Linked DNA regions of Oryctolagus cuniculus. The protein of the gene in region 2 purifies or fractionates together with the protein of the main gene of each other region. This does not show direct contact. Links are inferred from orthologs where the notes say so. Each region holds a gene or a part of one and is shown on either strand. Other genes may lie near its edges.

What was found. The genes of interacting proteins can lie anywhere in the genome.
Region 1: the proteins of NXF1 (region 2) and NXT2 purify together in Homo sapiens (co-immunoprecipitation; 5 studies listed by BioGRID and IntAct, counting the BioPlex papers as one, with this or other methods). This does not show direct contact. The link is inferred for Oryctolagus cuniculus from reciprocal best matches to the Homo sapiens genes NXF1 and NXT2.

The regions. Positions count from the first base shown.
Region 1 is NC_091453.1:83,962,797-83,969,017, reverse strand, and holds the start of NXT2 (NTF2-related export protein 2), read left to right. Parts: upstream 1-2,008; 5' UTR 2,009-2,122; coding exon 2,123-2,220; intron 2,221-3,174; coding exon 3,175-3,256; intron 3,257-3,409; exon of another isoform or gene 3,410-3,750; intron 3,751-4,030; exon of another isoform or gene 4,031-4,139; coding exon of another isoform or gene 4,140-4,142; intron 4,143-4,235; coding exon 4,236-4,322; intron 4,323-5,416; exon of another isoform or gene 5,417-5,804; intron 5,805-6,221. UniProt on the Homo sapiens protein: Regulator of protein export for NES-containing proteins. Also plays a role in mRNA nuclear export.
Region 2 is NC_091432.1:8,786,746-8,792,995, reverse strand, and holds the start of NXF1 (nuclear RNA export factor 1), read right to left. Parts: upstream 3,573-6,250; 5' UTR 3,396-3,572; coding exon 3,368-3,395; intron 1,948-3,367; coding exon 1,764-1,947; intron 1,568-1,763; coding exon 1,414-1,567; intron 1-1,413.

The DNA of each region.
Region 1 (6,221 bases), on a different chromosome or scaffold from region 2:
GGATTTAGGTAACTTCCAGCGATTTTCATCTACACTTGACCAGGAGAGCTGGCTGCACAATACCACCTCAAGCAATTTAATCAACCCAATATATTGCTCCTATGATCTGTTATCCCAGGATCCCTGTTTCCTGAATTGTACTGATACCTCTCTCAATACACCAATAGTTACCTAATCTATCCCAATTTCAAACTCTCAAATACATAGCTACCAAATCTCCTCTGCAATAGGTAGGGAAATAATGTGCCTTAAACAGGGACCATATGACAGGCAGTGACACATTTAAATATTACAGCAATATTCTGAAATATATACTAATATTATTATTTCTATTCCATATATCAGGGGACTGAGTAATGCAATCACTAGGCAATTTGGCCAAAGTCACAGAAATAGTCAGCAGTGTTGTCAGGATTTTAACCCAGACTGATGCTAACAATGTGTTTGACCAAAATTCCACTCCATGTTCCAAGAAAAGCCCTTTTACTCCCTTCTGAGTCATTCTCCCAACATTTTGCACAAATGTAGTTATCTAGGAAAAAGCAATTCTGTTTCTTATTCACCTGGTTCCCACCCGACTCCCTAGTCAACAAGTTTTCTTATGGTTTAAATTCACTGCTCTATCCTAACAAAGCCCAGCATTGGTTTCTCCATTATCAGTTTACCAAGCCTCCCACGTCTGTAGCACACTAATGTAGCAATTCTTGCAGTGTAGCACAACATTCTTTGCAAAAAGTCAGTACAAAAAACTTTGAGGTCCTGCCCCCACTTCTCATTCAAATCTCCCTTTCCAGTATTCCCAGTAACCCCCTAGTTCCCAGCATTACTGACAACACCAATAGCTGCCCTTATAGTCATAAAAGAAGTAACCCAAACGATATGCATTTAGGTTCAGGGAAAAAGAAATAAAGGAAGACTTATAGAGGAGAGTGAACCTGCCCCGGTCCCTGAAGGGGAGCTACACATAGGTAGTGAACATTCTAAAATAAGAAGAGTATAAGAAAATTCATGAATAGCAGAGTTTCTAAGAGCAAAAACTTTGGGGTCAGACAGTATGGGGTTAAAATCCTATGTCCACTCGGTGTATCATTCTAGCCAATTAACTTCTTTGAACTTCAGTTTCAATTCTTTAAAATCTGGATAATAATATCTACCTCTCTCGGCTTGTAAGGATTGAATGAAACATGAAACAGCAGCCCACAATAAAGACAATAACCAGTAAAGCAGTAAAGAGTCCCTTTTGGCAAATAATAGTAGTTAATTTTGCCAGTGTTTGTGAATTTGGGAGAAATCTGAAAAAGACAAATTGAGAACAGACTAAGGTAGGTCTTCGAAGATTAGGAGAACTTTCCGGGGGACAAAAGAGATTAGAGTGATCACAGTTGGTGCATGGCGGAAAGAGAGGCGAAAAGATAAAAACAGAATAAGCCGCTTTAGAGAACAGGCAGAACTAGGAAAGTTATGTGGAATTATTTTGCAACTCATGAAAGCTTTATTTACTGTCCAGCACCCCCATTACACTTTATGCTTCATGAATATATGCGTTATGTCTGCTTTATTCACCACTCTATATGCAGAACCTTGCACAACGTCTGGCATCATAGTAAATGTTTAATAAATATTTGTTGAATGAATGATGATGCTCGGGATAGGGGAACGAACATTCCAAGGACTCCAGTAGAGATGACGGAAAGAATAAGGAGGACAGACTGGAAGTGCAGAAAAAAAAAAAAAAGACTAAAATCTGGGCTTCCAAGTGTTGAAAGCCTATAGTGTGTCGTGATATTCATGTTTAATAAAATTCCTTATTTGTAATTGGAACTCAGCAAGGAGGTGGTGCCTGTTGAGGTTTATTAGCATATATGTAACGGCTGTGATGAGGTGGCAGGAGGGAGAGCTTAAAGTGTGAGACATCCGGACATTATGAGGTGGCAGGAGGGAGAGCTTAAAGTGTGAGACACCCGGACATTATGAGGTGGCAGGAGGGAGAGCTTAAAGTGTGAGACATCCGGACGTGACGTCAGCTAGTGGCACGCTGAGGAGGACAGAGAAGTCCTGTATGGTGGCCGTTGGAGCTAGACTTAAAAAGAGAGTGACGGGAAAAACAAATTAAATTGAAAAGATGAGAAAATTCAGAAGAGACTGGTCTCAGGAAGACTATGAAAGGCGTCAAGGAAGGAGCGACTATCGTCATGAGGAGCCACAAACCAGCTACTCATAGTAAGATCCGATTAGACAGCCGTTAAGTCGTGGATGACTTGAAGGTGGACATTCTTAAGGGATGGTGGGGCGAAGAGCCAGATTGCTGCCGTAGTTTTATCATTTGGGCTTGAATCTCTTCCTGTGTCCCTGAGCGGGTTAAATACTTTGTATCTTAGCTAAAAATGGATTTGATAAAAACAGCAGTTACCTCGACACTACTGGAAATAAGAGAATGAGTAAAAATGTGTGGAAAAGTACTTTGTACTTGGCATTTTATCTGTTGTTTGCTTTGTGTGGTAAGTAACCGGGAAAAGGTAGTGAATGGCATCGTGAATTAATTCTTGTCTGAGATCGGCAATATATTTTAAAATGTATCGTTGAAGAGAGACTCGAGTCTTTACCCTTAAATATGCCCAAAGTAAAATCTAATAGTGAATAATCTCCAGAATACCACCAAACTTTTTTGCTTCAATAGCCTAGGTTCTTTGAGAATGTTCCAGAACTAAGCGGCAAACGGTTCTCCAGCAGTCATGCGCAGTATGCCTTTCCCCAAGGTCCGCCCCCTTTTTCCTATAGACCATGGATCTTGTAGGTCTCCGGTTTCTCATTGGTCGTCAGTGGGCTTTGACCCCCCCCCCCACTTCCTGTAGCAAAGAAACCCCCCCTTAAGTGGCCCCTTTTGATTCGACCCAAGGTGTACCGTTTAAAAATTGGTATACTTTTCTTCAGAGTATGCAGTTAGCAAAAGTAAAGTGTTCTTTTTTTCTGTTAAACTACATAAATAAACATCTAGTAAATAAATAAGCCAGGTGGGAGGAATCAATCGGAACTGAAGGGAGGTAGACCTACGGTTGGAACGTCGGGTTGCTTTTAGCGACGGACCGATCTACTTCCGGAACCGAATTGGCTATTAGAAAATTGTGCGCGTTTGGCGGATTTCGGTCTCTTCCCAAACGTTTGATCGTTTCGCAGCCGAGGAGGCCACAGACGCGAGGAGGTAGTAACGCCGCCACTGGACCAAAGTGCTTCGGGCTCCTCGATGGCCACGTCCGTGGTGAGTGTCCGGGTCGCGATGGGGAGTCTCGGCGCCCAAGCATGGGCGGTAGAGGGGAGGGGCTCAGGGTTGGACTGGCTCCTGGTCACATGAACAGGTAGCGAATCAGGGTCTGACCAGCCTGGCTCCGGGGCGGGGTCCACTCTACTGCCCGCCCTCCGAAAGTTGTGCCGTAGTATTTTGGTCCCGGAAAGGATAGTTAAATCCGGAGAGTGGAGAGGCAGGGTCTTAGTGTTTGTTTACGACTGAAACACTCTTCCCGATCTGATTCCCTAAAAATCTCTTTCGATCGCCTGAGAAACTGGCGATTCACTGTTATTAATTCAAGTAATACGCCAGGACCAGCGAATTTCTAGGCAAGAAGCTATTTGATCCTGAGTCCTGCGCAGCCCCCAATAATATTTTTCTTCTAATATTCTGCAATTCTTTGACAAACACCGGTAAATGTTTACATAGTAGAACAGTTGTTCAAGTGGAGCTACGTAGTTTTTCAGGTAGTTCCTTGAACTTCATTCTTTTTCTAATTTTTATTTTTTCCCTTTGAGCAGTTTTGAGTTTTGTCCTCACTTCTCCCTTGAAAGGAGAACTGAACACGTTCTTAGTTTACTCACTAGCTTCCCTTCCCCCTCCTTTTAAGGTTCATACAGCGTCGTGTTTATTAGGGTGGATGTTTTATTGGAAATACTGAAAGTTCAAAGTAGTTAGTTGCCAGGCAACAGTAGAAGTTTATACGTGACAAATGAAAATAATCTAATTCACAAATCAGAGATGATTATATATTGACATGCACCTACAAATAGTAAAAAAAATTGTTGACTTTTGAGTTCTTACCATTATTAAGCTTAAATTTATATTGACAAATGAGGACTGGGTATAGAGCAGTATGGTGATTGAAATAAATCATTAACTTCGGTTGGTGGTTTTGTGTTAATGAGGGGTTGGAAAGGTGGTAATCTATACCTCCAAGTTTTTCTCCTAGGATTTCAAAACTTATGTGGATCAAGCCTGCAGAGCTGCTGAGGAGTTTGTGAACATTTACTACGAGACAATGGACAAAAGAAGACGGGTGAGTGTTATGGACTCTACAGCTGTTTATTAAATACCAGTTCTCTTTTGTTGTTGAGCCAGCTATTAGTGTGACTTCAGTAAATGATAACTGGACTTGTTCTTTAAAAACAGATTGCTTAGGGAACGATTGGTATAGTGTTTGTGGAAGTATAAGTTTGCTTTTACCTAGTTCTCCCGATCATGGGCAAGTTGCTATTTTTCTTAATGTCATTTTATGATTAGGTTTGTAAGTAGGAATTAATTTGAAAACCGCATTTATCATTGGGTTTATCATATATTTACTTAAATATGTTACCTTGTCTTAATACCACCATTTATCCAATATGGTTAAGGAAGGATTAGCACCAGTGAAAGGATCTGTCATTACAGGGAATGCTTCCTGATTTGCCCCCTTTATTTCATGTATTAATAGGTAATTTCTGATTAAGCCTCATAACTATTGCTGGCACAAAGAGCATACACATAGCTAGGATACTTTAGTATTCAACAGACGAAGTTTTCACATCACCAGCATTTTCATTGTAATTTATCCCTGTGCCAAATCTTCTAAGTAATTATTTAGGTACCTGGGTGGTCAAATGGATCTAAATCTCTTAGCAGCATAGGACTGTGTTTTAGTGAACTTCTCTTCTGCAGATGCAAAAGTTGGTACTTTATCGATAAAAGCCCACCTTCTAAAGGCAGAAGATCAAAGAAGTCCCTGGTACTTCTGTTTGTTGATATAAGATGGGAAATGGGAAGAGGCAGTGGATGCTTATTGTTCCTTGTCTATAATTGTGCCTACTGTTTTCAAAAATAAAGTAGCAAAAAAGTGGGATATAGTTCATTATCAGTGTGAAGATAGATGTTGGCATTGGAACCCAAGTTAAATTATAGAATATTAAGAAATAATATTCCCTGTGACTCCAAATAGTTAACTGTTGAATTTTGTCTCATTTTGACTTTAATTTATTTGGTTCATCAGAGACTCTGCTTTAGCAAATACTCACAATTCTTTTGAACTAAGTAGACTAACAGAATAATAGCAATAAGGAATAATTCTTCCTAACACATGCAAAGATTAAATGATTCACATCTGTATAACCTCTGGGATTAAATTATAGTATGACTTGATTAACAAATTTATTAATTATCAGAGTTAGAAAAGGAAGAAAAGCTTGTCTGGGCTACATGTGCTTACAATTTGTGATCATTGGGGCCGGCACTGGCTCACTTGGTTAATCTTCCACCTGTGGCGCTGGCATCCGATATGGGTGCTGGTTCTAGTCCCAGCTGCTACTCTTCCAGTCCAGCTCTCTGCTGTGGCCCGGGAAGGCAGTGGAGGATGGCCCAGGTGCTTGGGCCCTGCACCCACATGGGAGACCAAGAAGAAGCACCTGGCTCCTGGCTTCGGATCTGCGCAGCACCAGCCATAGCAGCCATTTGGGGAGTGAACCAACGGAAGGAAGACCTTTCTCTTTCTCTCTCTCACTAACTCTACCTGTCAAATAAAAAAAAACAATTTGTGATCATTTATTCATTTTAATACATAAAGCAAAACTTGAAAACTATCTTCTAGCTTTTGGCTGCAAGGATTTCTTATTGTGGCTAATGTATAATATGAAAAAATATATTTAACTCTTTAATTTATGAGGAGTAGGATAGCATCTATTTCAGGCTAGGATTCTGGACAGACATCTTGTTTACACTGGTTTGCATTGGAGAGGGATCAAGGGAAATGGACAGGGAGGTCGAACTTTAAAAATGTTTATATACCAGAACAAGCATTAGGCTAAGTAGTTAAGTTATTGGTTGGAACATAAATATTCCACATCAGAGTGCCTGTGTTTGATCTTGGCACTTAATGCTGATTCTAGCTTCCTGCTGCACCCAGGGAGACAATGATGATAGCTCAAGT
Region 2 (6,250 bases):
TAGTTCTAGTCCCGGCTGCTCCCACTTCCGATCCAGCTCTCTGCTATGGCCTGGGAAAGCAGTGGAAGACGGCCAAAGTGCTTGAGCCCCTGAACCCATGTGGGAGACCAGGAAGAAGCTCCTGGCTTCCGAATGGCATAGCTCCGGCTATTGCGGCCATCTGGGGAGTGAACCAGCAGACAGAAGAACCTCTCTGTCTCTACCTCTCTCTGTAACTCTGTCTTTCAAATAACTAAAATAAATCTTAAAAAAAAAATAAATCTTTAAAAAAAAAAGTTTTTCTAAAGAAAAGAACCAATCATAGGGTTTTCACTTGAGACATATGGATTCCTTAACCTCTTTTCTGTCTACTTACACACTTCTTATTCTTCAAAACAATAAGTTGCTTGATCTAAGTTTTAAGATTTTTTTTTTTTTTGACAGGCAGAGTGGACAGTGAGAGAGAGAGAGACAGAGAGAAAGGTCTTCCTTTGCCGTTGGTTCACCCTCCAATGGCCGCCGCGGCCGGCGCACCGTGCTGATCCGATGGCAGGAGCCAGGAGCCAGGTGCTTTTCCTGGTCTCCCATGGGGTGCAGGGCCCAAGCACTTGGGCCATCCTCCACTGCACTCCCTGGCCACAGCAGAGAGCTGGCCTAGAAGAGGGGCAACCGGGACAGAATCCGGCGCCCTGACCGGGACTAGAACCCGGTGTGCCGGCGCCGCTAGGCGGAGGATTAGCCTAGTGAGCCGCGGCGCCGGCCAGTTTTAAGATAGTACCTATACTGTGCCTGTCTGTACCCTCAGAACTTCAGGGAGTCCAAACCCCATATTCAGCCTCAGCCAATTGGAGACATCCAGAGGAGCTCCTCTGCCTTCTGACTACAGTTACATCTCCCTTCTGTCCCATTCTACCTACTCCCTGCCTTGCCTTCTCTGAACCTGTTCTAAAGTGTTCTAAGATACTGACCCTTAAGAGAAAGGATGGGGGCTGGCGCTATGGCGCAGCAGGTTAAAGCCCTGGCCTGAAGCGCTGGCATCCCATATGGGTACCAGTCCTAGTCCCTGCTGCTCCTCTTCTGATCCAGCTCTCTGATATGGCCTGGGGAAGCAGAAGATGGTCCAAGTCCTTGGGCCACTGTAGCCGAGTGGGAGACCTGGAGGAAGTTCCTGGCTTCCGATCGGCGCAGCTCCGGCCGTTGTGGCCATCTGGAGAGTGAACCAACGGATGGAAGACCTCTCTCTCTGTCTCTACCTCTCTCTGTAACTCTTTCAAATAAATAAAATAAAATATTTAAAAAGAGAGAGAGAGAAAGGAAGGACACCTGATTGTGCAGTAAAGGGCCAAGAAAACAGATTTTTGTGGAATAACAAACACCTGTACTCTGAGCAAGGTCCCCCTGTCCCTGTACCGCTTTGTTTCCCACAGTACTCACCGTAATCTTGAACCAGTTTTTGGAGGTCCCATCCTGGCTGGTGCCGGCCCCTCCTCGCTCTAAAGGAGCTCTGTCTCTCCGCACAGTAACATGAATACGCTCTCGACCATGCCAAGTGTCGCCCCGGCGGTTGGGTCGGGCAGCATAGGGGGTGCTGTGAGGAGGCAGAGCAAAATGTCCATATGTGCTACCAAAGTTTTCTCAAAGACTGTCCCCGCACTGTACAGGACCATTTAAACTGGTCCTGGCATTTCTTATTCTTCCAGGTGGGAAGAGAAATGACATGGCCACTAAGAGGGCTATATAATCTAGGGGGTCACTAATATAACCCAGACGAACTGGTCACTTACTATCGTACTCGGGGACCATCCTGGGCGTCACTCATTGCTACATCTCCATCATCCTCCTCAAGCCGGGAAGACCGGATACCAGAACCACCTCTTCCAGAGCGACGGTTACTCTCACCATACTTCCACCGGAAAGGACCCCGGCCTTTCTTTCTTCTTTGAGGGAAACTAACACGGTCATCGTACTCTACGGTTAGAAACAGGCACACGAATTATTAACACCACTGCTCCCAGCACCTCCATATGGCAATCACAGTGCCTCACTGTTGGGAGAGAACATAAGAACCACAGGGGCCACCTCCAGAAAACCGTGGATGACATCATCAGGGAAAAGTTATTGGGAGACTGTGCAGGGCTTTTGAAAAACGAAGCAGAAACCAGAACTACAGAGAAGAGAACCAGAATGGAGAAGTGTGGCCAACCCAAAAGTGTAACTGCCCACAAGTCAGACTCCTGAAAACCACCTGAATTCTGCCACTCAGTTATGTACCTATACCGCTTGAATGAAAGTTACAACAGGATCAACTGAAAGGGCTCTCTAAAATAACTCCACGTTCTTAAACTGCCACTCTGAAAGTTCTGAGATGCTCCGTTTCCTTGGCCAGAAAAGCCCTTTAAAAGCTCAGGAGACCGGGCCTGGACTCAGGCACCAGAGAAGCAGCCCCACCCTAGGCTGCTCAATGAAAGGTCCCCAGATGCTCTCTAGATAAACATAACCTACTAACTCCGTAGGAACGGCTCCTTTAAAAATGGTCCATGACTTCCAAAGAAAAACGCATCTACCTAGTGCCCGGTACTCTGTAAATAATGAGCCCCAACAGATAACCCCGGCCAAGCAGAATACATGAACAGAGGGTACGGTGAACACTCACTGAAGGCACTCTCCTGTGCCGGGCACTGTGCTACCAGCACCTGGTATGTAATGATCTCACGGTCTGTCTGTCTCATACACACACAGTCTCTCTTCTCTCTTACACACACACAGAGGAAACAGGTAGTTACTTTCCACACTAAGGGGTTTGGGAAAGAGGCCTGAGAGTTTAACTCCCTCCAGCTTGCTGTAGACAACCCAGGTTTCAAAACTCGGCTGCCGGGCCCTCCAAACCACTATAATGGACTCACAGCCGGTAGGGTGTCGGGACCAAAACATCCAGTTGGTGTGTCGGTCTCAACTATTAAGCCAAAGCCACAGGCCAGAAGGCAAGGCCGACTGGACGCGGTAAGAAAAAAAAAAACAACAACAACAAAACCAGGGCACCAGGGCAGCCCACTGAGTCACATTAAAGGAAGAGTCGGGCCGCCAAACTGAACTGACAGGCACCAGCCACTCTCAAAGTTCAAAGGAAATCCCGTCAACCCACCCGAGCCGCCCGCTCCGAGCCGCAGGTCCTCCCAACGCCAGTGCCCCGGAGTCCTGTCAACTCGCGCGCCCACCTCGAGTCCGGCCGGCCCCCCGGGGACCGCCTTGCCCCCACCCGCCCCGCGCTGCCGCCGCTCCCCTCGGACGCCGGACCCCTCGCGGCCTCTCGCCCCGAGCTGCGGCCTAGGCCGGCGCCGCCCACCCGGGCCCCAGATCGTCCGCTCCACACACGAGATCCAGCACTGACCGTTGTACGACTTCCCCTCATCCGCCATCGCACAGCAAAGAACAGAGGCTGGCTTAGGCGCCGGCCACGACGCCACCAAACGTCCAAACGCCCAAGCGCTCAAGACCCAAGCGCTCTTACGCGGGGCGCCACCGCATTTATCCGGCGAAGCACGTCGCGCGCCAGCGACGTCCGCAGGCTGTGGGCGGTGCCTCAGGGAGGGCGCGCCCCCCTGCGCGTGCGCACACGCAAGGCTGCCGCGCGGGGCGGGCCCCGCCCCCTCCAGGCCCCGCCTCGGAGCTGAGCCCGCGGGTGCCCGGCTCGCTGCCGGCTAGTCCGTCCGTCACCCGCCACCTTTTCATCAGCTCTCCCAGGCAGCTGTGGCAGTTCTTTAGCTTTGCAACAGCGAGCGGGCTGCTGGAGCTCAGAACTTAGGGAAAGGGGCCGCACGGAGAGCCTTCGAGAAATGGAACCCCGCTTCGGCGCTCCCCTCAGCAGGATGCTGGTAGTATTTGTTTTCCTCTTTGCCGGCTTCAGGTCAATGCCTCGCTTTCCTCGTCTATTACATGGATTAATAATAACGAAATAAGGGCCGGCGCTGTGGCGTTGTAGGTTAAGCGCCCGCGGCGCCGGCATTCCCATATGGGCAACGGTTGGAGTCCTGGCTATTCCACTTACAATCCAGCTCCCTGCTGATGGCCTGGGAAAGCAGAGGATGGCCCCAGTGCTTGGGCCCCTACAACTACGTGGGAGACCAGGAAGAAGCTCCTGGCTTCTGATCGGCCCTGCTCTGGACTTTGGGGCCATTTGGGGAGTGAACCAACAGACAGAAGACCTCTTACTCCGCCTCTCAAAAAAAAAAAAAAAAAAAAAAAAAAAGGAAAGACGAAATGGAAAACCACAGTGTAAACTCCGTGGGAGCAGAAACCCCAATCCATGGCTTTCTTCCAGCTCCTGGCTCAGTATCATGACTGGAACATCAAACAAATGCGTTCTGTTCTGTGTCCTTTCTCTTTCGAAGAACGACGAGGAGTCAAGTGAGGCCGCGTGTGTAAAGCTTTGAGCGAGCATTCATCATCAAAGACCTCCCCACCCAGACGTGGAGCTAGAGCCCATCCCGTGTCAGCTGAGCAGCCAGCGTGACCAGCTGTGGTAGGCCACTGGCTGAGGGATGCCAAGGAGAGGGAACTTCAAAATGCCAGGGCCAGGACAAGCGCTGTGGCAAAGTGGCTTAAGCTGCCCCCTGTGACACCAACATCCCATATGGGCACTGGTTTGTGTGCGGGTTGCTCTACTTACAATCCAGTTCCCTACTAACATGCCTGGGAAACAGTGGAAGATGGCCCAGGAACCTGGACCCTGCCACCCATGTGGCAGTCCTGGGCAGAGTTCTAGTTTCTTGGCTTCAGCCTGGCCCAGCCCCTGGACATTGTGGCCATTTGGTGAGTGAACCAGTGGAAAGAAGATGTTTCTAACTCTGCCTTTTAAGTAAATTAATTCTTACAAAAAAATGCCAGGGCCATGGGCTCTCCCAGATCTCCAAAAGTACCAGGGCCAGTCCCTAAGTACACTGATTGAGCTGCTTTGGGGGTGTGTCAGATGGGGGCGCTAGTGATCTCAGATGGTGGAGTTGTGGGTCCTGGTGGGGAATGAAAATTCATTGACCTCCTTGGAGAGTACTCTGTGCTGCCTCTCCTCCAGACTCCTGTGTCTGGCTTGGAGGAGAGCCAGCCTTAGCCGGAGCTGGGAACATTCTTCAATTCACCTTCTGGCAGCAGGCAGAACTCCTGCCTCAATCAGCTCCAGAAAGAATTAGGACCAAAAGCCTGGAGGACACAGATGAAACTGGACCAAACACTGCTTGAGATGCTCCCGAAGTTGCCACCAATCAGGTACCCCTTCTGGGATCCTGCTCCCGCTTTCGAAAGGAAATTTCTAGGCTAATGAGGTGCCACTGTACTTGGCTACCTCCTGCCTAGAGGCAAAGCAGTGTGTACACAGCCCCAACGCTGTGGGGACCCTCGGAGCCAACAGCCCAATCCTTCCGGTGCTGGTGCTCCGCGGTGCGCTCACTCCACTTGCTGCCCACGCCCTTTGAAGCTCCCACCCAGAAATGACGACATGGCGAGTGAGGCTGACAGTCTTGCTGTAATTGGGAGAAAACCGGCTGCAGCATATTTGGCGGATTGAGAGTCACCAGCAGCTGCTGTCAGGGGTTGTGCAGGCAGCTGAAGGGCTCAGGGCCCCCTGTCTCCCATGGTGCAGAGGAAGAAGCTCAAGTTCTAGCCCAGACAGGAAAGTTGGTCCCTGGGACAGTCTGGCTTCCTTTCCTCACTCTCAGGAAGTTGCGGAAGGGCATCATTTTCCCCGCTGCCACAGTTCCCACTGGGAGATGCTGGGGAGGGTTTATAAAACCTCCTAGTGGAGACACCCCCACGAGCCCTCAGCTGGCCTCCGCTCCTTTCCAGCCACTTCACAGCAGAGTCCAAATCCAGAACCGTGTGTTTCAAGGGCCTGAGGGTAGTAAGGGGAGGACAGAGTGGCCAGAGGCAAGGGGTGGGGAGATCATGGGCAGTGGCCATTCTTAGCAGTTCCAGGGAAATAAGGCCTTTCTCCCCAGCACCCTGCACAGGCTCAGTGGCAGCACTGGCCACCTGCCCTCCCAGTAGGGTCCCCCAAACCCCCACAAGTGCCTCAGAGTGGAGAGGGTTCAGGCAAGGAAGACCACAAAGATGATGAAGAAGATAATGAGGATGAGGAAGATTTTGACCATGAGCCACCGGTTGGAGGTGACTGACTGGAAGTACTTGAGGATCTCTGAATGGGCGGCCTCAACATCCAGCTGGGCTCCTAGCACGTTCTCGTCGATCCTGGGGACAGGGCCGGGAGAAGAGGAAACAGAAG